Diceros bicornis minor: one gene and its partner. The protein of the gene in region 2 purifies or fractionates together with the protein of the main gene of each other region. This does not show direct contact. Links are inferred from orthologs where the notes say so. Each region holds a gene or a part of one and is shown on either strand. Other genes may lie near its edges. The genes, in order: PSMD5 and PSMB5.

What was found.
Region 1: the proteins of PSMB5 (region 2) and PSMD5 fractionate together in Homo sapiens (co-fractionation; 3 studies listed by BioGRID). This does not show direct contact. The link is inferred for Diceros bicornis minor from reciprocal best matches to the Homo sapiens genes PSMB5 and PSMD5.

What each region holds. Positions count from the first base shown.
Region 1 is NC_080767.1:27,975,087-27,985,813, forward strand, and holds the start of PSMD5 (26S proteasome non-ATPase regulatory subunit 5), read right to left. Parts: upstream 5,021-10,727; 5' UTR 4,998-5,020; coding exon 4,822-4,997; exon of another isoform or gene 4,777-4,821; intron 1-4,776. Other genes in the region: protein CutA homolog, read left to right, coding at 9,420-9,488. UniProt on the Homo sapiens protein: Acts as a chaperone during the assembly of the 26S proteasome, specifically of the base subcomplex of the PA700/19S regulatory complex (RC).
Region 2 is NC_080744.1:24,724,074-24,734,267, forward strand, and holds the start of PSMB5 (proteasome subunit beta type-5), read left to right. Parts: upstream 1-6,070; 5' UTR 6,071-6,086; coding exon 6,087-6,284; intron 6,285-6,963; coding exon 6,964-7,270; intron 7,271-10,025; coding exon of another isoform or gene 10,026-10,120; exon of another isoform or gene 10,121-10,159; intron 10,160-10,194. Other genes in the region: PSMB11 (proteasome subunit beta type-11), read right to left, coding at 124-1,005. UniProt on the Homo sapiens protein: Component of the 20S core proteasome complex involved in the proteolytic degradation of most intracellular proteins. This complex plays numerous essential roles within the cell by associating with different regulatory particles.

The DNA of each region.
Region 1 (10,727 bases), on a different chromosome or scaffold from region 2:
GCATCAGTGTTAGAGAAAGAATTTTCAGTTAGAAGGCAGTTGATGATGATAAGCGATGAAGGAGTGAAACAGGGGAGTAGCAGTGGGAATGGTGAAGAGGGAAAAGATTTGAAGAGCTGTTAAAGAGGGATATAATCAGAACTTGATGACTACCAGATGTAGATACAGACAGTATTTCAAGAATCACTTCCTTGTCTCTTAATAGCCAGTACAAGTAAATGGGCACTCACATACTGGTAATAAGAGTATACAATTAAATTGGCACAACATTTCTAAAAGGTGATTAAGCAATACACAGCAAAAGCCTTAAAATGAACATATCCTTTTAACTTAGGGATTGCACTTGGCATAACTGAGCCTAAGGGAGTAATCAAGAATGTTTTTATACCCAAGATAATTGAGAACATATACCCACACAAAAATTTGTACACAAATGTTCACAGCAGTGGAAACAACCCAAATGTCTACCAATTAATAAATGTACAAATACGGCATATCCATACAATGGAATATTATTCAACCATAAGAAGAAATGAAGTACTGATTCATGCTACAACATGGATGAACCTTGAAAATATGTTAAGTGCAAGAAGCCAGATATGAAAGGCTTCCTTTTGATGATGATTCCATTTATATGAAATATCCAGAATAGACAAATCCATAGAGACAGAAAGCAAATTCCTGATTGCCAGGGGCTGGGGCAGAGGATAAGAGGGAGAATGGGGAGGGACTGTTAATGGGTGTGTGTTTCTTTTCCTTTTTTTAAAAAACTGCAATTGTACATATCATAAAATTTACCATTTTAACCATTTTTAAGCATATAGCTCAGTGGCATTAAGTATATTCACACAGTTGTGCAACCATTGCCACCATCCATCTCCAGACCTTTTCATTTTCCCAAACAGAAACACTGTATCCACTAAACACTAATTCCCCATTCTCCCCTTCCTTTAGCCCAAAGCCTCTACTTTCTATCTCTATGAATCTGACTACTCTATGTACCTCATATAAGTGGAATCATACAATATTTGTCCTTCTGTGTCTAGCTTATTTCACTTAGCATGTCTTCAAAGTTCATCCATGTTGTAGCATGTGTCAGAATTCCCTTCCTTTTTAAGGCTGAATAATATTCCATTGCATGTATATCCCACATTTTGTTTATCTATTCATCCACTGATGGACACTTGGGTTGTTTTGGTGTTTTTTGTTCGTATGTTTTAGCCATTTTAATAGGTATGTAGTAGAATCTCAATGTGATTTTAATCTGTATTTCCCTAATGACTAATGATGTTGAGTATGTTTTCATGTGCTTATTTGCCAGCCATATATCTTCTTGTTCAAATAATTCGCTGATTTTTAAGTTGGGTTCTTTTCTTGTTATTGAGTTTTGAGAGTTCTTTATCTATTCCAAATACTTAAGTCCTTTATCAAATATGTTCTTTACAAAGATTTTTCTCCATTTGTGACTTGCCTTTCCATTCTCTTAACTGTGACCTTTGAAGAGGAGAATGTTTAATTTTGATGAAGTCAAAATTTATTGATTTGTTCTTCTATGGATCATGCTTTTGGTGTCACATCAAAGAAATCTTTGCTTAACCCAAGGCACAAAAATTTTTTTATAAGTTTTCTTTGAGAAATTTTATAGTTTTGGGTTTTATATTAGGTTTATAATCCACTCTCATACACTGCTGGTAGGAATGTATAATGGTTCAATCACTTTGGAAAACAGTTTGGCAGTTTCTTAAAAGTTAAACGTACACCTACCATGTGACCCAACCATTTTACTCCTAGGTATTCACTCAAAGAGAGAAGAAAAAATATGTCCATGTAAAGACTTGTACACAAATGTTCACAGCAGTGAGCATTTATTTGTAATATACACAAACTGGAGACAACTCAAATGTTCATCACCAGGTGAATTAATAAACAAATTGTGGTACATCCATATAATAGACTATTACTCAGCAATAAAAAGGAATAAAGTATTTATTCATATCACATGAATAAATCTTAAAATAATTATGATGAGTGAAAGAAACCAAACAAAAGAGTACATACTGTATGACTCTATTTATATAAAACTCTAAAAAAAAAAAGGCAAACATCTATAGTGATAGAAAGCAGATCAGTGGTTGCCTGGCTGAGGCAGGAAGGGATTACTGAGGGGCACGAGGAAACTTCCGGGGGTGAGAGATAGCTTTGCTATCTTGATTGTGGTAATGGTTTCATGGGTATATACATGTCAAAACTTGTCAAATTGTATGTTTTATCATGTACAGTTTATTTTATGTAAATTATATCTCAATAAAGCTGTTTTTAAAAAAAGCAATGGTAGGCTAAACCACATAGTACACACATTTCAGGCCACATGTGGCCCTTAGGAACCAGGAAGCCAAAGAGTTAATAACTTATAATCAGTCTTGTTTGACTTCCATGTTGCAAAGCAGTAACCTTAGGACTTACTTTCCCTCACAAAAACTCCTATCAAGATTCTAGATTTAGGGGCTGTCCCCGTGGTGTAGCAGTTAAGTGCGTGCGCTCTGCTGCTGGTGGCCCGGGTTCGGATCCTGGGTGCGCACCGACACACCGCTTGTCAGGCCAGGTTGTGGTGGCGTCCCATACAAAGTGGAGGAAGATGGGCACAGATGTTAGCACAGGGCCAGTCTTCCTCAGCAAAAAGAGGAGGATTGGCATGGATGTTAGCTCAGGGCCGATCTTCCTCACAAAAAAAAAAAAAGATTCTAGATTTACATCTATCAGATCAGATCTTGAACTAATATATAGCAACCTGTGTGGTTTAACCAGGATAATAGCAATACATCTGGAGAATGCCAATCTACCATCCAGAGAATTATTATTTCCACAAATTGCAATTGCTATCTACTATGTACCCAGTTCTGAATTACTCTGCCTTTAAATTTTCATTAAGACTGCTTGCTAGAGCACTGCTCCTTCAGTCAGCAAACCATCCCCCCCATAGAACTTATTCTTAAAACTCCTCTTCATTTCAGTTCCTATTGCATCTCTGGTGTTAAATTATGGTATGAGCCTTGAAAGTCTCTTCACCTATAATATAAAGTGGTTGGACTAGGCCTCTCTAAAATTTATGAGTCTAATCTTTTATTTGGCATATATTGCATTATGTGCTGCGCCCTATGAGAGATGCAGAGATGAACAAAATACAGCCCCTGCCTTCAAAGAATTTACAAACTAGACACAAACACATACAGAACTATAACATAAAGCAATAGTGTTAACTATCAACAGAAGTAATGATAACGTCCTTCAGGAGATCTGAGGACCAGTCACTTGCAACTGGAGTGACCAAGAAAGACTTTTTGCAGTGGATGGCACTTCACCTGGGCCTTAAAGGATTTGGAGAGAGGGGAGGGCATTTCAGTTAGAAGGAATGGCATGAACAAAGTTAGAAAAGTGCCAAGTCATGATCAAGGGAAAGTTAGTGGTGCCACGTGGTAGCTGGAGCAGATGAAATATGTTTACAGGAGTGGAGGAAAAAGATGAGGCTGGAAAATAGGATGGAAATATACTGTAAGGGTCCAAACACCAGACTAAGAAGTCATGATTTTACACTGTAGGCAATGGGAAACCATGGAAAAGACGTGAGCCAAATGACCCGAGAAGTTCACTGTGGTTGTAGTGTGGCAAGGACACACTAGAAAAGGAAGCTTTGAGGTAATGAAAAGTCAGACTAATGTAATAGACCTAGCAAGAGGGAGAAAACGAGGGCCTGAATTAAAATGGGCAAACAAAGACATATTTCAGAAACAGACCTCAATAATGTTAACTAACGGATTTAATGAAGGGAGAACAAATAGGAAAAAGGGAGGAATCTTAGGTCAGAGCCAAGAAAGTCTTCCGAAATCATCCAGTGTTGATTCAGTGACTCATTCCTTTCAAGCAGAAAGGTCACTTTTAAATTTCTGGATCACAAACATTTTCAACCTTTTAAAATTATTGGAGGATCAAATACAAAGTGTTTTTTAATCAAATACAACAAATGAGCATAAAATGAAAAGTAAAAGTTGCCATCCTACCATTCTAAGTCCCACTTCTATATTAATAGTTTCTGCTGTACCTTTCAGACATTCCCAATGTTATACTAGCCCTGTGTGTTTGTGCGGGAAAATTGTAATTCTTTGTAAAAATAACACATAATGGGGCTCATAAACTCCTACAATTTTCTTTTTCCATTCAACAACATATATTAGAGATCTTTCCATGTCCACATGTATAGATCTACCTCAATTTTTCTAGCAGCTGTATAGTGTTACATAGTAATGTGTCATAATTTATTTAGAATCCTCTTTTAATGGATATTTAGGTTGTTTCTAGGTTTTTGCTGTCACCTTCTGCTACGAATATTCCCGTATATACAGTACACTTTGTGTCGGAGTATACTTGCATGTTAAGGTTCTATAACAGGAATTACTGGATCAAAAGGCATGTGAATTAAAAATGTTGACGGATCTTGCCAAATTGCCAGGATAGCACCCCTTCTTAAGAGGGAAAAAGCCAAGGACCTGTACACAGGATTGTGGAGTCCTCCATGCAGATGGGCAACCTTGCTTTCCTCCCCCAAATCCTATTTCAAGGATGAAGGCAGAGAGGCCAGGGGCACACCTGAGAACCTGGACTTGACCCCCGTCTCTTGACTCTCAGACCAGGGTCCTCCCCTCTCTACATTTCAGCTATATTCTACCTTCACTGCGACTGGAAAAGCCTTCCCCTTCACCCCACCCACCCCGGTTTCCATACTTGGGGCTGTCACTCTCCCCCACTGAAGCCGCAGCGTCCTCTCACCGATGGTTCTCGTTGAGCAGGGAGAAAAGCGGGCCAAGGCGCAGTTCCGCCGCTTGCTCGCGGAGCTCGCTAAGTGGCACTGACTGCAGCACCGACTGAAGCGCGCGCAGCTCCTCCATCGGCGCTTCCAGCCGCGACACCTCCCTCAGCAGCGCCAGCACCTGGGCCGCCATCATGCCCCCTCCCGCAGGGGCTGGCGGATCCGCCCGCCCGGCCCTGTTCGCGGCGCGCTTCCCCGAGCCTCGCGAGATCTGCCGGGCGCAGCCTCCCTCTCCCGAGTTTCGGCTCTGACGGCGAACCGCCGGGCCGCACCAATAGCAATGCGGAGCTGGCTGGCCGCGCGCGCTGCGGGATGTCAAGCCTCGCGAGACCGGGGCTGTTAAGGTCGAGCCGGCGATCGCTGGTGGTTGCGGGGTCGCGCGTCATCTTGGGCGCCGCTCAGTTGGTCAAGCGGGCCGACTTTCCGGTCGGCGTGTGTGTTTCCCACAGGGAGCGAAGGCTCGTCCAATGTCCGGCAAGCGGAGTGGTGCGAATGAGGGCCCACTGGAGGTTAAACGGCCTCGCGGGCGTCCTTCTGGCTCTCAAACCAGGCTCTGGGCCGCGGCGAGAGCCGCAGCGGTGGAGGCCACCCCGGGCGGAGCGGCGGCGATGGGCATCCTGCTCCCGGGCAAGACACGTATCTAGAGGAGGCGGAGGGTCATGCCTTTGGAAGACAAGATGAAAATTCCCCAGAAGCTGGAAGGAGACGTGAGTAACACCGACGGGGGGCGCCTTTTTTGGCGTCAGTGAGTCCACTGTGCGCACCATTAAGAAAAACGAGAGGGCCATCAGGGCCAACATGGGGAGTTTCCCCCGTCTGCTCCAGGGTGCTGTGCATTCCCCGTGATGTAAACATAGAGAGGATGGAGACTGAGTTAACCTGGCTCGAGGACCAGACCGTAGCGGGGCGGCCTCTGACGCTGAAGGCCACCTGCAACCAGGCCAAACGCGTTTACGAGCAACTGATGGAAGTCATCGGGAAGGGCAACCCAGATCAGTTTCATGCGAGCAAAGGATGGTTTGAGAAGTTTAGAGATGGCTGCAGTCTGCGAAATTCGAGGTTGATGGAGGAGGAGGAACCCTTAAATGCCCAGTCGGCACCCAAGTATCCCGAGCAATTCCAACTCTGATCCAGAAACTGATCAGAGCTAGCGGCTGTGTGCCTCAACAGGTCTTCAACGCCAAGGAGATGAGCTTGTTTTGGAAGTGCATGCCTTCTCATACTTTTAGGGAGTAAGACAAAAAGCCAGAAAGCTTAGAGGAAGCTAAGGACAGGATTTCCCTCATTTTTTTGTGCCAGTGCCACAGGTGACAAAATGATAAAACCATTGCTGCTTTATAAAGACGCTAATCCCACTTGTCTTTTGGAAAAAGATAAAAAACGTCTTCCTGTTTTCTGGCAGTCACACCCCAGAGTATCATTAACCGCCGCCCTCTTTTCGCATTGGTTTCATAATTGGTTTTCTCCATCAAGCCTGGAGTTATTTAACAGAAAAAAATCTTTTTTTTTTTTTGCTTGAGGAACATTAGCCCTGAGCTAACATCTGTGCTGATCTTTCTCTATTTTGTTTGTGGGTTGCTGCCACAGCATGGCTGACAAGTGGTGTAAGTCCGTGCCTGAGATCCGAACCTGCAAACTGGGGCTGCCGAAACAGAGCACACTGAACTTAATCACTATGCCACAGGGCCATCACCAGAAAACAATCTTGAATTCAGAGTGTTGCTAATTTTGGACAGAGGTCCCAATCACCCAGACTCATTATTATTTGCTCATCCTAAAGTTGATAGTGTGTTCCTCCCTCTGGAACGTACTGGCTGTCTTCAGCCCTTGGATCAGGGTATAATTGAAGCATTCAGGAGGTATTACACCAAGCATATGGTTGACCATTTTGTTGACTATATTGAAAAAAAACTCTTGCTTTACTGCAAAAGAAGCATGGCAACAGTACCACACTGCCGATGCTTTGGTAGTGATAGAAGAGGTGATGAGTGATATAAAACCGGCTACTCTTAAAGCCTGGTTGAAACTTTGGGAGGGTGTTGTGAATGATTATGCATGTTTCCTTAGAGCTAATGAAGAAGTTAAAAAAATCATACAGTCTGCAAAACAGATGGGCTTTAAATTCATCAGTATTGATGAAAGGGAAATTAATGAGCTACTCAAGTTTGAAGCTTTAGTGATAACTGAGAAAGAGTATCTATAGATGAGGAAGAAGACAAGTCCCTGGAACCAGAGGTAAAGATGAATCTAAGGAAACTGTCTGCTGTCTTACGCCAGGCCTCAGACCTCCTTGATGCTGCAATTGATATGGATCCTTTCCTGGATCCAAGTTTGACCTTTTAAAAAGATTTCAATAAATTGTCGTATACCCATAAAGAGATTCAAAAGAACGTTCAAAATAAAGCAAATGAGTTTAAGAAAGAGAAGGAAAATACACACAAAGAGGAAGTAGTGTGGGTGAAGGAGATGGGTACAGAATGAGTCTGAAGGAGAGTCTGAGTCTGATTCTGAATCCTATAAGGAGGGGGAGAAGGTAGAGAGAGAGAAAAAGGATAAGAAGCCTTCAGAAGAAGAGCGTGGACACTCAGGCAGTGGCACTAAGAATCTTACTATATCTGAAGAATCTGCCAAAGCCATAAATGCAGAATTGGACTTTTGGAATCTAACCTTGGAATTGAATCTGGAGAGAGTAAGGTGCCTGAGTTGAAGGAAGAAAAGAATCCAGAGGCAGTTTCTTCCAAATAACAGTTCATCTCTTGCTGAACTTCCCTTGTTGCCCTAACATCACCTTCATCGTGATCATCCTTATAATCATCAGCCACACATCTGTATCATTTAGTCATTCAACAAACATTTATTGAGCATAAACTATATGGGGTGTGCTAAACTTGGGGACATCATCTCAGGAAATCGTCTCAGGATCTAAGGTAAATGGTCATTAACAGTGGATTTTCTTATTAATGTAATAGGTATAAAAGATCACAGTCTTGATTTATTTTAATGGACTTTGAATATAAAGATTTTCTTAGGACCACTCAGCCTCATTTTCTCTAACCTTAGTTTTTGCACAGATACTAAATTCTTTAATCAGAAATGGAGATTTTCTACCATTTCCAATGGTAGTTGGCATGAGACTACTTGCTCTTGAAATGCTGACGTGGTCTTACATTTTATAAAGCACTCTACGTTAATCTTCTCTGTTAATCCTCACTTTAGACCTATGAAGAAAGTGTTAGCCCTTCCTTTACCAAAAAACCCTCAAAAGCTCAGAGAGGTTAAGTAACTGGCCTGAGTCTGCACAGCCAACAATGTAAACGATAGGACTACGGCTACAGTTGATTTATTAACTTTGTCAGACACTTTCCTAGGAAATGTATCAGGTCTTTAAGAATTTATAGTCCTAAAGAATGAGACAGACAGGTAAACAGGTAATTAAAATAAACACAGAAGCTGTGAACCCGCAGCCTGCAGGCTAGATTTGGCTAACAGATATGTTTGGTCTACCCAGTTTAACGCAATTTTGGACTGGTTTCTAGCATCCCCCTCCTCCTTTGTTTAAGGTACCATTTACATACAATACACTTCATCAATTTAAGTGTACAGTTTGTTGATTTTTTTAACACTCGTGTAACCACTACCACAATCAAGCTATAGAACTGTTCCTTTAACTTAAAAAAGTTTGCTTGTGCCCTTGTGCACTCAGTCCCTTGCCCCACCCCAGAAATGTCATATTTTAAAAATTAAGATATTTCACATTAAAAAACTGGATTAAGAAATTGGAAACGCTGGCCACAGTGGCCTCTGCGTTCCCAAAGGGCAACGGTGAACCATTAGCTTGCTGCTTTACTTGTTTGTTTGTAATTCCCCATAGTTGATGTTAAATGTGGCAACAGAAGTGTGTGCAAAGTTTCCTGAGGGGAAACCGAGGACTGCGGGATTAACTCGGGGAAAGGCTGCACGGAGCAGCTGGCCTGGAAAGATGAATGAGTTCATAGGGAGAGCAGTCAGAGCTAGTGTTCTAAGCCAAGGATTAGAAGGGAGACCCTGGGAGGAGGGGGTGGTGTGGGGGACCGGAAGGCAGCTGAGTGTGCTTCACTTACTTGTTTTTGTTGGCGGGATGGGCCTCTGTAAAGTGGATGAGTTTTGTGTGTGTGTATTAGTGTTTGTGGTTTCTGTGGCTGTGGTTTCTGAAGGTTTTATGTATTTAAGAAACTTAGATCTTTTTATCTGTACATCTCTGGGGAGTTTGTGATTTTTTTGTTGTTGGTAAAGTGGGAAGGAAAAATTAGTATTTTTATTTTTGCAGGGGTTTTAGGTCTGCATGTGGTGCTTGGGTTTTGTTTCTAGAGAGTTGCCCAATGAAAATGACTCCCTCATTCCCCGCCCCCTGCACTGTCTCCTTCCAGCCTTCCTGATTGGGGCGTGGCTGGGCAGTGGGGCCGGCAGCAGGTGGTGAGAGGAGCGGGCAGTTTAGGCCCTCAGTGCCCGCCCACCAGCCGGCAACTCAGCCTGAGGCCGCCCTTCCCTAGGGCTGTGCCGCTCGATTACCAGCGACGCCATGGACAAGCTGGGCTCGAGGTGCCCTCTGCCAGGCCTCCTGCGGCCCTCGGTCCTTATATGCCTCCTGGTGAGTGCCCCATGCTACGACGCTAGGAACTCCTCACCCCTAAACCTCCAGCCTGGGGACTGAGGGAAGAAGGCGCCTTTCTCTTTAGTGCCCCTGGGATTTTGAGCTGGAGGCAGGCAGGTAGCCGGTGGAGGGTAAGATCCCTGGAGACAGCCCCGGTGTGTTGGAGATTGTGGCGTGGTTCTGAAGATTACCAGCACCCCTTCACTCCTGCCTTGTGAGGAGGAGTGACTGGACTGTGTTTCACTGCCAGGGAGGTCTGAGAGGTGAAGGGGTGTCTGCTGGTGAGTTCTCATCTAAGGGTCACATGATAGATTCCTTTTCTGTTTCTATTGCAGTTACCGTCTTCTTTTTCTGTATTTTTCTGGGGGCTTTGTTTTCTCATCTCTGAAATATCTTAAAATGTTAAAGTTGGAGATGGCTACAGAGTACCACCAGTGGTGGTGGTGGTAAGGAGAACTGTAGGGCAGGGTCAGAAGCCCAGGGGTCTAGCCTAGCTCTGCTGCTCCCTTTTTGGGTGATTTTCGTTCCCTCTTTGACCCTTACTTTCCCCATCTGTAAAAATTGGTACAAATCAGTAGCCCTTAACCTTTTTGGGATTTTAATTTTTCTTGAATTTTTTTTTTTGTTAAAGTTCTGGATTTGTACCCAAGGAAAGTATATAGGTAAACACAATGTTGCATTCAAGTTCAGAGTATTCGCAGATTCCTTAAAACTAGGTGGATTGCAAGTGTAGAACCACTCGGTGGTTTCTGAGGCCCCTTCTGCCTTAACAGACTGTCAAGTCAGTCATAACCTCCTAAAGGCTATGCAGATACTGCAGGACAAAAAAAGGGAAAAGGCAGAATGAAATATGAAATAACTGAAAGGATACATAAAATATTTTAGAATATAAAATTAGAAAAGTTATACAGTAAAACACATAAATATGAAAATGTTATAAAAGCTTTTCTTTAAAAATTATAGTAAATCTTTTCCTATTATAATGTTTCTATTAGGGAATATTGTGATGTATGTATTTTCCATCAGTTTTGCATTCACATCATGTCACTTTCTCATATATTGTGGTCCACCCTTGGTTCCAAACTGACCTTTCATACTGCTGCTTTGTTGGTATGGTGCACAAATGTTTCTCAAGCCCATTCGCCCTGTCAGGGGTGGTAAAGTGCCAGCAATACCGAAATAAATGAGGCTGAAGAGCTCATGTCCGATGGGGAAGACATATGTAAACAACTGTCT
Region 2 (10,194 bases):
CAGATGAAGCCGGCATCTCACAAGGGCTGGAGCCAGAAACTGTGAGGCTGCTCCCCCTGCTGCCCCATCCTCCCACCCACTCCCTGAGCCAGCACCCCGAGTCCTGTCGCTTCTCACAGCGTCTCAGTCTCTGCAGGCATCCTGTAGTCTCCCAGTTCCAGCCCCTACAGAGAGTTCACCAGCTCTTTGCGGGGCGGCAGGCTCAGGATGGGCCTGGCTGGCCTCCTCCTCCTCTTCCTTCTCTGGCTCCGGTAGCTTCTGCAGCTCCGAGTACAGCACCCAGGCATCATTGCGTGACACGTACTCCCATCCACTCTCTCGCACGTGAAAAAGGTCTACAGAACCCCCTGAGTAGGCATCACGGTGCGTGGCGTGGGCCACGGCGCGGCGAGCCAGGGCGTAGGCTTCCTGGGTGGTCATGTCGTAGCGGTAGCTGCGGTCCAGCACGCCATAGGCATAGAGAGATCCAGAGCCCACTGAGAAGATGTCCCCCTGCAGGCAGGTGCCGTCACTGTACACATAGAAGAGGGCCGGGCCCGAGCGGTCCCAGCCACACAGGGCAGTGGCCACACACAGATCCAGCCCCCGGTAGTGGGACATCATGGCTGACAAGAGTTTGGCAGCACTGGCCACACTGGGCAGCTGCCCCTCCCTCAGTGCCCGCAGCCGCAGCTCCCGCTGTAGCACCCGGTACCATGTGGCACAGTCAGCGGAGGTGCCAGAGGTGGTGCCCAGGAGGTGCTGGTGCACAGGGATGACCTTGCATGAGGCTGGACAAGCCACGTAGTTGCCACAGGAGGAACGCGTGTCAGCCGCAGCAATGACTCCGTGACGGAAGCGGAAGGCCAGGGTGGTGGTGCCGTGGGCCAGCCTGGGGCCGTGGATCTGCAAGAAGGTTTGAGGGTCACAGCCCCGGGGCACAGCCCAGCCGCCAGCCTGAAGCAGGTGAGGTGACAGTCCCTGGGTGTCGGGGGCCTGCCACTTGCACACATCCTGCAGAGCCATCCCTGGGACTGAGTGAAGGCTGGAAGGAGCAAGGCAGGGATTTGTGGGCTGGGGTCAGCTGAGGAAAGAGGGACGCCACGGAGAAGCTGGGCTGCAGCCAGAACAGGTGAGGAAGGCATGTGACCTGTGGTTCACTTCTCCCTAACTCCAAATCAGGCTTTGGGACAAGCTGATGGAGCAGCCCCCTCCTCCCCAGAGGACTGCAGAGGGGAGACAGGATGAGGCCAGCAGAGTCTCTAGTGCTGGGAAGACGCTGCCCATCACATACCTGAGCGTCACCCAGGGAGTCTCCTGTCTGTCTTCCCCCAAGCACCTGGAGTGGAGTGGGGGCTGGGTAACCGCAAAGGAAAGGAGGCGTGAGTGGAAGGAGCAGGGCAGGGTTCCTCTTGTTCTTCCTGCGGGGGGCATTGGGCATGCAAAGATCGATAAGGCTCTGTCCCCGCCCTGAAAGAGCTCCCAGCCTAGGCGGAGGTGAGGACAAGTCAGTGCTCAGATGTAGTCAGAATAGAGTGCCAAGGACCCACTGAGGCAAGAGTCCCTGACGTGGGGTTCTCCCTTCAGAGGTAGGGGCCAGGGAACTGTGGCCCTCAGCTCACATTTTCACCTCATGGTCAAGGTGAGGAAGGAGAAATGGACTGAGACAAGGACAAAAGAGAAAACAGCAAGAGAGCCTGTGAGGTGGGGTGGGGAGGCTCAAATACCTTCCAGAAAGTCAGGGTACTAAGGTGCAAGGTGAAGGGAAATTAGAACCTGAGGCTCTATCTCCTCCACTTTGGGCGTGAATATGAACTTCCATCTGCATACAGAGATGGCATTCCTGAGAGTTCTCGGGCAATATAGCTTCTCAGACTTCTGTTCCAGTTCTGAGGATGTAGCTGAAAGGATCTAGTGGCCTTCCCTCTCCTGGTCCTCCTTCTGCCCAATAGTTCACAATGGCAAGAAACTGGTTTGTAGTTCTGAGGCAGGAGAAACAACTGACCTTGACCCCATAATGCTGAGTCTAAGTCTTAGACCAACCAGGGGGGGTCAAGGGGTAAGGTTGCTGGACCCTGACAACTGGCCCTTCAGAAAGACAAAGTAGATTGGGCCAGAGTAACAAGCTGGAACTATTTCCAGCACCATATGGAGTATATTTTACTAAATATTGCAGCTCGAAGGGATGTTGTGGGAATGGGTTTATTCAAAGAAACAGACCCAGACACAAAGGAAAGAGCCTGCATGCTCCAGACACCATGGTGGTGGGGCTCTGGCAGTTTCCTGGCGTCTCAGTCTAATGGCAAGTGTAAACCTGTCATGGGAAGACTGGAGAGAGCAGGAGGTCAAGCCGAGGTCAAGCCAAGTTCAACCAGTCCTCCCTTCCTTTGAGTAGGACCACATGGGGATCTTACTGAAAAGATAAGAATGTCTCCTCTTTCTAAAGACTGTCTTAGGGCCGGCCTGGTGGCTTAGCGGTTAAGTGTGCGTGGTCCACTACTGGCGGCCCAGGTTCAGAACCCCAGGCACGCACCAACGCACCGCTTCTCCGGCCATGCTGAGGCCACGTCCCACGTATAGCAACTAGAAGGATGTGCAACTATGACATACAACTATCTACTGGGGCTTTGGGGAAGAAAAAAAAAGGAGGAGGATTGGCAACAGATGTTAGCTCAGAGCCGGTCTTCCTCAGCAAAAAGAGGAGGATTAGCACAGATATTAGCTCAGGGCTGATCTCCCTCACAAAAAAAATAAAAAATAAAAAAAAATAAAATTTAAAAAATAAAGACTGTCTTAGACACTTCATACATCGCTGGATTGCCACCTCCCTAGGTCAGGCCATTATCAAGTCAGATCTGGACAATCTGGAGGCCATTATCAGTCAGATCTGGAGATCTGCCCTCCAGTCTCCCCTCTAATCTTATCCTCCACACTGATGTGTTTTCCGAAGGAATCACTCAAATTCTGTGTCTCTTCTACTAAGAAACCTGGAAGGGCTTCAAAATCAAATCTGAACCACCTTCTCTGCCCCAGGCATTTAAGGCCTCTGGCATTTAAGGCCACTATGGTCCAATCCCAATTCACCCACTACAACCTCTTTTTACTCTATTCCTAACACATTTCCCACCTCCCCTTCATCTATTTGAATCCTATTCTTCAAAGTCTGGCTTAATTACCACGTATTCTGAAAATCCTTTCCAGGTATGGGCTGAGAGAGGAGAGACTGTGGGTTTGAGGAGTCAATGGGACCCAAGAGGCATTTAGAGAAATGAATCCAGACCTCCTTGGCAAAGCCTTCCTGGACCCCCAACCTCATCCCAACCTATAGTGACCTCCTCTCCCACCTCTAAACTACAGCACTTATCATTCCTACCCACCCACCCCAGCTTTATTGAGATATAATTGACATATAACATTGTATAAGTTTAAGGTTCACAATGTGATGTTTGATACATATATATATTGGAAAATGTTTACCACAACAAGGTTAGTTAACACATCCTCTACCTCACATAATTACCATTTTTGTTGTTGTTATGATGAGACCATTTAAAATCTACTCTCTTCACCTCTCAAGTATACAATACAGTATTGTTAACTATTGTCACCATGCTGTACATTACATTCCCAGAACTTATTCCTCTTATAACTGCAAGTTTGTGCCCTTTGACCAACACCTCCTTGTTTCCTCCACCCCCAGCCCCTGGCAACCACCAATCTACTTTCTGTTTCTAAGAGTTCGGCTTTATTAGATTCCACACGTGAGATCATACAGTATTTTTCTTTCTCTGTCTAACTTATTTCACTTAGCATAATGCCCTCAAGTTTCATTCATGTTGTTGCAAATGGCAGGATTTCCTTCTTTTTTATGGCTGAATAATATTCCACCACATAGATAACATTTTATTTATCCATTCATCCGTTGATGGACACAGGTTGTTTCTATGTCTTGTCTATTGTGAATAACGCTGCAATGAACATTGGAGTGCACATATCTCTACAAGATAGTGATGTCATTTTCTTGAGATAAATACTCAATTGCGGGATTGCTGAATCACATGATAGTTCTGTTTTTAATTTTTTGAGTAATCTCCATACTGTTTTCCATAGTGGCTGCACCAATTTACATTCCCACCAACAGCAGCGTCATTTGTACTTCTCCTTTTTGAGGTCTCCAAGTGTAGGGACCTTAGAGCAGAGAACTACTGTAAAGTAAATCAGAAACAGATTATGGAAGGCCTTGAATGCCATGCTGAAGAGCTGGACCTTACAGAACATTTTTGAGCAGGTGAGTGATAAGATCAAGATGGTGTTTTAGGAAACTCAGTCTGGTGATGTGCAGAATGAATTACAGAGTACAGTCTGGGCCCAGAAAATCAATTAGGAGAATATTTCAAGAGTGAGGAGATAAGAAGCCAAAGGTGGTATTAGTTGCAATTGAAAAGAATGTGAGAAGGATTGTAGAGGGAGAATCAACAGGACTTGGCAACTCACTGGCTGTAGAGGAAAGGAAGGGGAGTTGTTAAAGGTGAGCCAGGGCTTCAAGCCTCTGTGACTGGAAGAACACTGTTGTCATTCTTTCATGTATTCATTTGGCAAACATGTATTAAGCACACAGTGGGTACAGAGATGAATAGTAGACATATACCTGTCTTTAAAAGCTCACAATCCAGTAGGAAATAAATGTACACTTACAACCAGGTAAAATGTGAAAGGGCCTTAAGAGAGGTACAAATGCCATTAGTGGCAGAGTGACAGAACCCTGACAGAAGTCAGAAGGAGGCCTAGGTGCATTGCAGGGGTGACTGCAAAATAATACCTGCTCAATAAGCAGAGGCACTCTGCATTTGCCACACACTCTAACTGTGAGACACAGATAAAAATCTGCTTCATTCCATTCTGATGGTTGGTCTTGGAAAGGGTTGCCAAATTTCAGCATTAAAAATACAACACATGCAGAGTCTGCTGGGGAAAAGGAGGGGCTGAGTTGGGCATGAGAGGAAAGTGAAATTTAGATATTGATGGATGTTGCCGCTGGAATCCACCAAGGAAGGCCAGACACTGACTTCATAGAGCCTTAAAGCAGGAGGCAACATTTCATACATTTGCCCACTTCCTTGCTTGTTATGGTTCCCAAAAGAGTTGAAAAACGAAGGTGGGTGGAGAGAGGGAGAGGCAATAAAATATAGCACATTCCTGAATAAAGAGCTTGTCTTAGCAAGCTTAAATTGGAGAACCTCTTGGTACATCTTTATGGAGCCTTCTCTCCTCCAGGCTCTGAGATGGTAAACGACTATTGACTCAGTTATTCAGGAGCTGAATTGAGAATCTAGTTTGTGGATTAACTGGGCCCTTTGCTTTTTCTTCTTTATTCTATCTGCCTTTTGGGCCATTCATTACTTATAAGATTTTCCACCAGAGGGTGGGAGTAAAGAAAATATTGAATCTTAAAAGTTGGTTACTGTTAGAGAACGTGGGTAGTGTGGCGATTAATGCTAGCAAACAAGACGTATAGCACTTTCATAATTGTTGCGCTTTTCACCACAACCTCCTGTGGTTTAACTAACTTCATAGGAAAATGGCCTCAGAGGAGATCATTATTTTACCCAGTATTAGAGGGTGCCCTTAAACAAAATGGCAACTCCAGTCGCGTTAACAGGGTGCTGAATGAGTAGAGATGTAAAGTGTTGCTCGGACACCGGGCTGGGCGCGGACGACTTACCGCTAAGGGTTCAGAACTGATTTTCAACCAGTCACGCCCTTCTCAAAGATGGCCGGCCTCACTTCCCGCACGCAACATGGACGTTTCCGATCGCTTCCTATGAATTTGAGGTTAATGTAATCCAGTACTGCTCTCATGACCAGAGTCAAGATGGCAGCCAGATCCCTTTAGAATTTAAGGGTAGTGAAGCCATTTATTTTTTTTCCCTCTCGGTGAAAATAGTCCCTTGCGCCTGGCTGTTGTTTTTGGAGGCGTGGTTGCCAGGAGTTAAAATGGCTCCGGGCTGGGATAGATTGAAAAGGAAGTGAAGCTGTGACAGCGAGGCGTTGCCCGGCCGCTCTTTCCTAGGCGTTCACTCCCGGAGTTCCTTTTGCCCTTACTAGACATGGCGCTGGCCAGTGTGTTGGAGAGGCCGCTACCGGTGAACCGGCGCGGGTTTTTCGGACTCGGGGGTCGTGCAGATCTCCTGGACCTGGGTCCCGGAAGTCCCAGTGATGGGCTGAGCCTGGCCGCGCCCAGCTGGGGTGTCCCAGAGGAGCCGAGAATCGAAATGCTTCATGGAACCACCACCCTGGCCTTCAAGGTGCAGACCCCGCCGTCGCGCCGGGCTGAGTCCCGCACGCCCGCGCCCCTCCCGGTTTCCCAGCCGACCGGAGCTCGCGGTGGCCGTGGTCAGGAAACCCAAGCGGAGGCCCGGGCCTCTTGTCTCCCCACCAGCGGCTTCGCTGTCTCATTGCCCAGGGAGGCCTCGGTTCTCGAGGGGGGCGGTGGGGCTGGGGGTGAGTGGGAGAAGGAACACGAGGCTGCTTGGGTTGATGCCTAGGCCACCCCCGGTTGCTCCTGTTCAGGAAAGGGGAGGCCGCAGCAGCAATGAACATTGGCAGAGGGAAGGCTGTTGTAACCATTCACCAAAGATTTTGGAAACTGGGTGGCCCCGCTGGCTAGGCGAGGGTAACCGAAACGTTATGGCATGTGGGGGAAGATTGGTGGGAGGGAGCACTGTACTAGGAGCCAAACAGTTGGGATTCCTGACCCAGCTTTGCAATAATGAACTCTACGATCTTGGGCAAGTCATTCGATCTCATAGAACCTGTTCCCTTTGATGTGAAGCTCAAGTGACATTAGTATGTGGGAAAGTATATTGTGAAGTATAATACGACAGAGATGATGTTCTGGGTTTGCACTGACGCAAAGAGAAATGTCAAGGAGATGTTTTTGTGGTCTGATGTGGCCTGCTTTGTGTTTTCCTCTGATCTTAACAGTTTCAACATGGAGTCATTGTTGCAGCGGACTCCCGGGCCACAGCGGGTGCCTACATTGCCTCCCAGACAGTAAAGAAGGTGATAGAGATCAACCCCTACTTGCTGGGCACCATGGCTGGAGGGGCAGCCGATTGCAGCTTCTGGGAGCGGCTGCTGGCTCGGCAATGTCGAATCTATGAACTTCGAAACAAGGAACGCATCTCGGTAGCAGCTGCCTCCAAGCTGCTGGCCAACATGGTGTATCAGTATAAGGGCATGGGGCTGTCCATGGGCACCATGATCTGTGGCTGGGATAAGAGAGGCCCTGGTGAGTTTAGCTGCAGTGGCATGATTCTTGGGCTGCCCCTACAGAAAGGAGGGGCTGGATGAACGGGTGAATGAAAGGGCTTTCAGTGCTGAGGATGTGTTGATTAGGTTCTGGGACCTTCCTTCTCTTTGTTCATGGAAGGCACTGTAGGGTGGGAAAGGGCCTTGGAGTTAGCCCTGCTGTGTCATGACTAACCGTGGGACCTCAACACAGGTTGCTTATTTTCTCAGCCTCTGTTTCCTCATCTGTTACATTGGTTAGATGAGGTAATACATGTAAAGCATGTAATGTCTGGCACATAATGTTTTTCCTTCTACTCTCTCCCCCACAAAATGATAAGACCTACAAAGAGTGGAATTTGAGAATTAAATTGGATAATAGACATAAAAACTCCAGTCAGTGCTATATAATAGAAATATAATATGAGCCACACATTTAAGTTAAAATTTTTTAGTGAATATATGAAAAAAGTAAAGATAAATAGGTGAAATTAATTTTAACAATTCATTTAATCTAAAATACCTAAAATATTATCGTTTTGGCATGTGGCACTAGCCCCATTTCAAGTGCTGAATAGCCACATGGGGTTAGTCGCTACTGTATTGGACAGCAAAACTTTAGTATACAGTAAGTAGCCACTCAAAAATTAGTCATTTCTCTTCCCTTTTTTGCTTTAGGGAGTCTTTGGCCTAGAAGGGGCCTTTTGGGTTCATCTCCTTTCCTTGCTTAATATAAACACCCTAGGTTCTAGTCCATCATCTCTCTCAAAAGAAATTCCTTAGCCTATTTTCCTTTCCAGTTTATAAAAACCTTGCTGGGAAGCTCAATCTTGTATCTGGTGTCAGTTCCTCTTCAGCCAGTTTTGAATGTCCCTTTAGTCAAGCTGGAATACAGCTAGTCACTTTCTGTGTAATTTTCCCCTTCCGTGCTTGAAAATAGTTACTCTTTGCTCCTATTGTTTTTGCTTCATTCATTTAGCTCCTTACTAAATGCCTAGTTTTCCTCTCTCGAACAATTGTAGGGTACCCACAACTTTTTCACTTGCTTTGGGGAATATATCAGTTCATTACTCAATGGAGAATGAATGCGGTGAGATTAAAAAGTAGATGTGAAAGAGGAGCTCAGTTTGTTACTTTGGAAAGCGAGACACTTTTCTCTTTGAAAGGTGTGAAAGAATAGTTCCATACATCTTGTGTGGTCTAGGGAAGCATTTCAGAAATGTTACTTTGAGCCCTTAGCTGTTGGGTTTGTTCCAGGTGGTAGAAACAGTGTAAGGGAGTACAGAAACTGGCTAGCAAGGACAACCCAGGAAGCTGAGTATAACCTAAATGGTACCCTGTCCAACCCTTCCTGACAAACCATCCCATTCAGAATGAGTCAGAACCAGACTGAACCAGACTGAGAAAGGATCACAGATCACTTAATATAAGGCTGAATGAGATGAGTACGATTTTTAAAAGAACCAATAAAATGCTGAAGAAGGTTTGAGGAGGAGAGGGTTACTTCTGATAGGAGGAATTGGGAAGACTTCATGGAAAGGTGGCAGTTGTCATGGATGCGAAAATGAGAGAAAGGAAACATAACAATCGAAGGAAGGAAGCATGAGGTTTTGGGGGGAATAACTGGAAGTCCAGTTTAACTGGAACTAAGGTGTGTGAAGGGGAGTAGTGAGCCACGAAACCAGAAAGGTAAATTGGAGCCAGGTGGTGACCCTGCTGGGCAAGGTAGTGGCAGTGGGACTGAGGAAGGGCTAGATTGGAGTGGACATTAGAATCATCTGAACCTGAAAACTGATCGGGGCAGTGGGTCCCCAACCTGGCTTTCATTATAATCACCTGAAGAACTTAAAAAACAAGCTCCATGCTTGTCCCCGACTCCAGACCAATTGAAATAAAAAACCTGGAGTAAGTCCTAGGCATCTTTTTTAAAAGCTTCCTTAGATGATTCAGATGCATAGTGAGAGTTAAGAACCACTGAAATAGGAGAAAGATAAGTGATGCCATTGGCAGAATTTGAAACTACAGGAGGAAGTATGGGTTGGTGGGGCACAAGAAGGATGAGTTTGGTAGGTAATGGAGAACCACTGAAAGTATTTGAGGACAGGAAGTTTGAATCTGAACTTGGTGAGAAAGGCATCCAGTTGGAGAGGTCCAGCAGACAGTTGGAACTGATAAAAGTTTTATTAAAATTTTTGTCTAAATTTTCATCTATATTAGAAGTTGGCTAACTTTTTCATAAAGGGCCAAATAGTAAATATTTTAGGCCTACAGGCCATATGTTCTTTGTCTCAATTATTTAACTCTGCTGTTTTAGCACAAAAGCAGTCATAGACAGTGTATACACAAATGGGTGTGGCTGTGTTCCAATGAAACTTTATTTATAAAAATAGGCGGTTGGCCTGGCCAACCCCAGGTCTATACTGGCACTAATAGAAATAATGTCAGCCATACATGTCATTTTAAATTTCATAGTAGCCATATTTTAAAAATTAAAAATAAAGAAGAAATTAATTTTAATAGTATGTTGTATTTAATCCAACAAATCCAAAATGTTATCATTTTAGCATGTGGTACTAGCTTCATTTCAGATGCTCAGTAGTGGCACGTGGCTAGTGGCTACCACATTGGACGGTGCAGATCCTTACAATATGACTTGGAACTCTAGGCTTTACTCTCCTATTGTGTGATATATGTCTTGTCCCCCAGATAGTCTAAACTCTGAGGGCTAGGATTGTTTTAAACATTATCTCCCACAGTGCCTGAAGTTCCGGTCTTGAAACCGAAGTCATTTGAATTATACTTGCTTTTTGGTTGTGCAGAGAAGACAGGCAAGGTAGTTACTATAATGTGAGGTGAGATGAGGTGGTATGTTGTAGAAGCCTGGAGTCTTAATATTTAATTTGATTCCCTCAGCTTTTTTTTTTT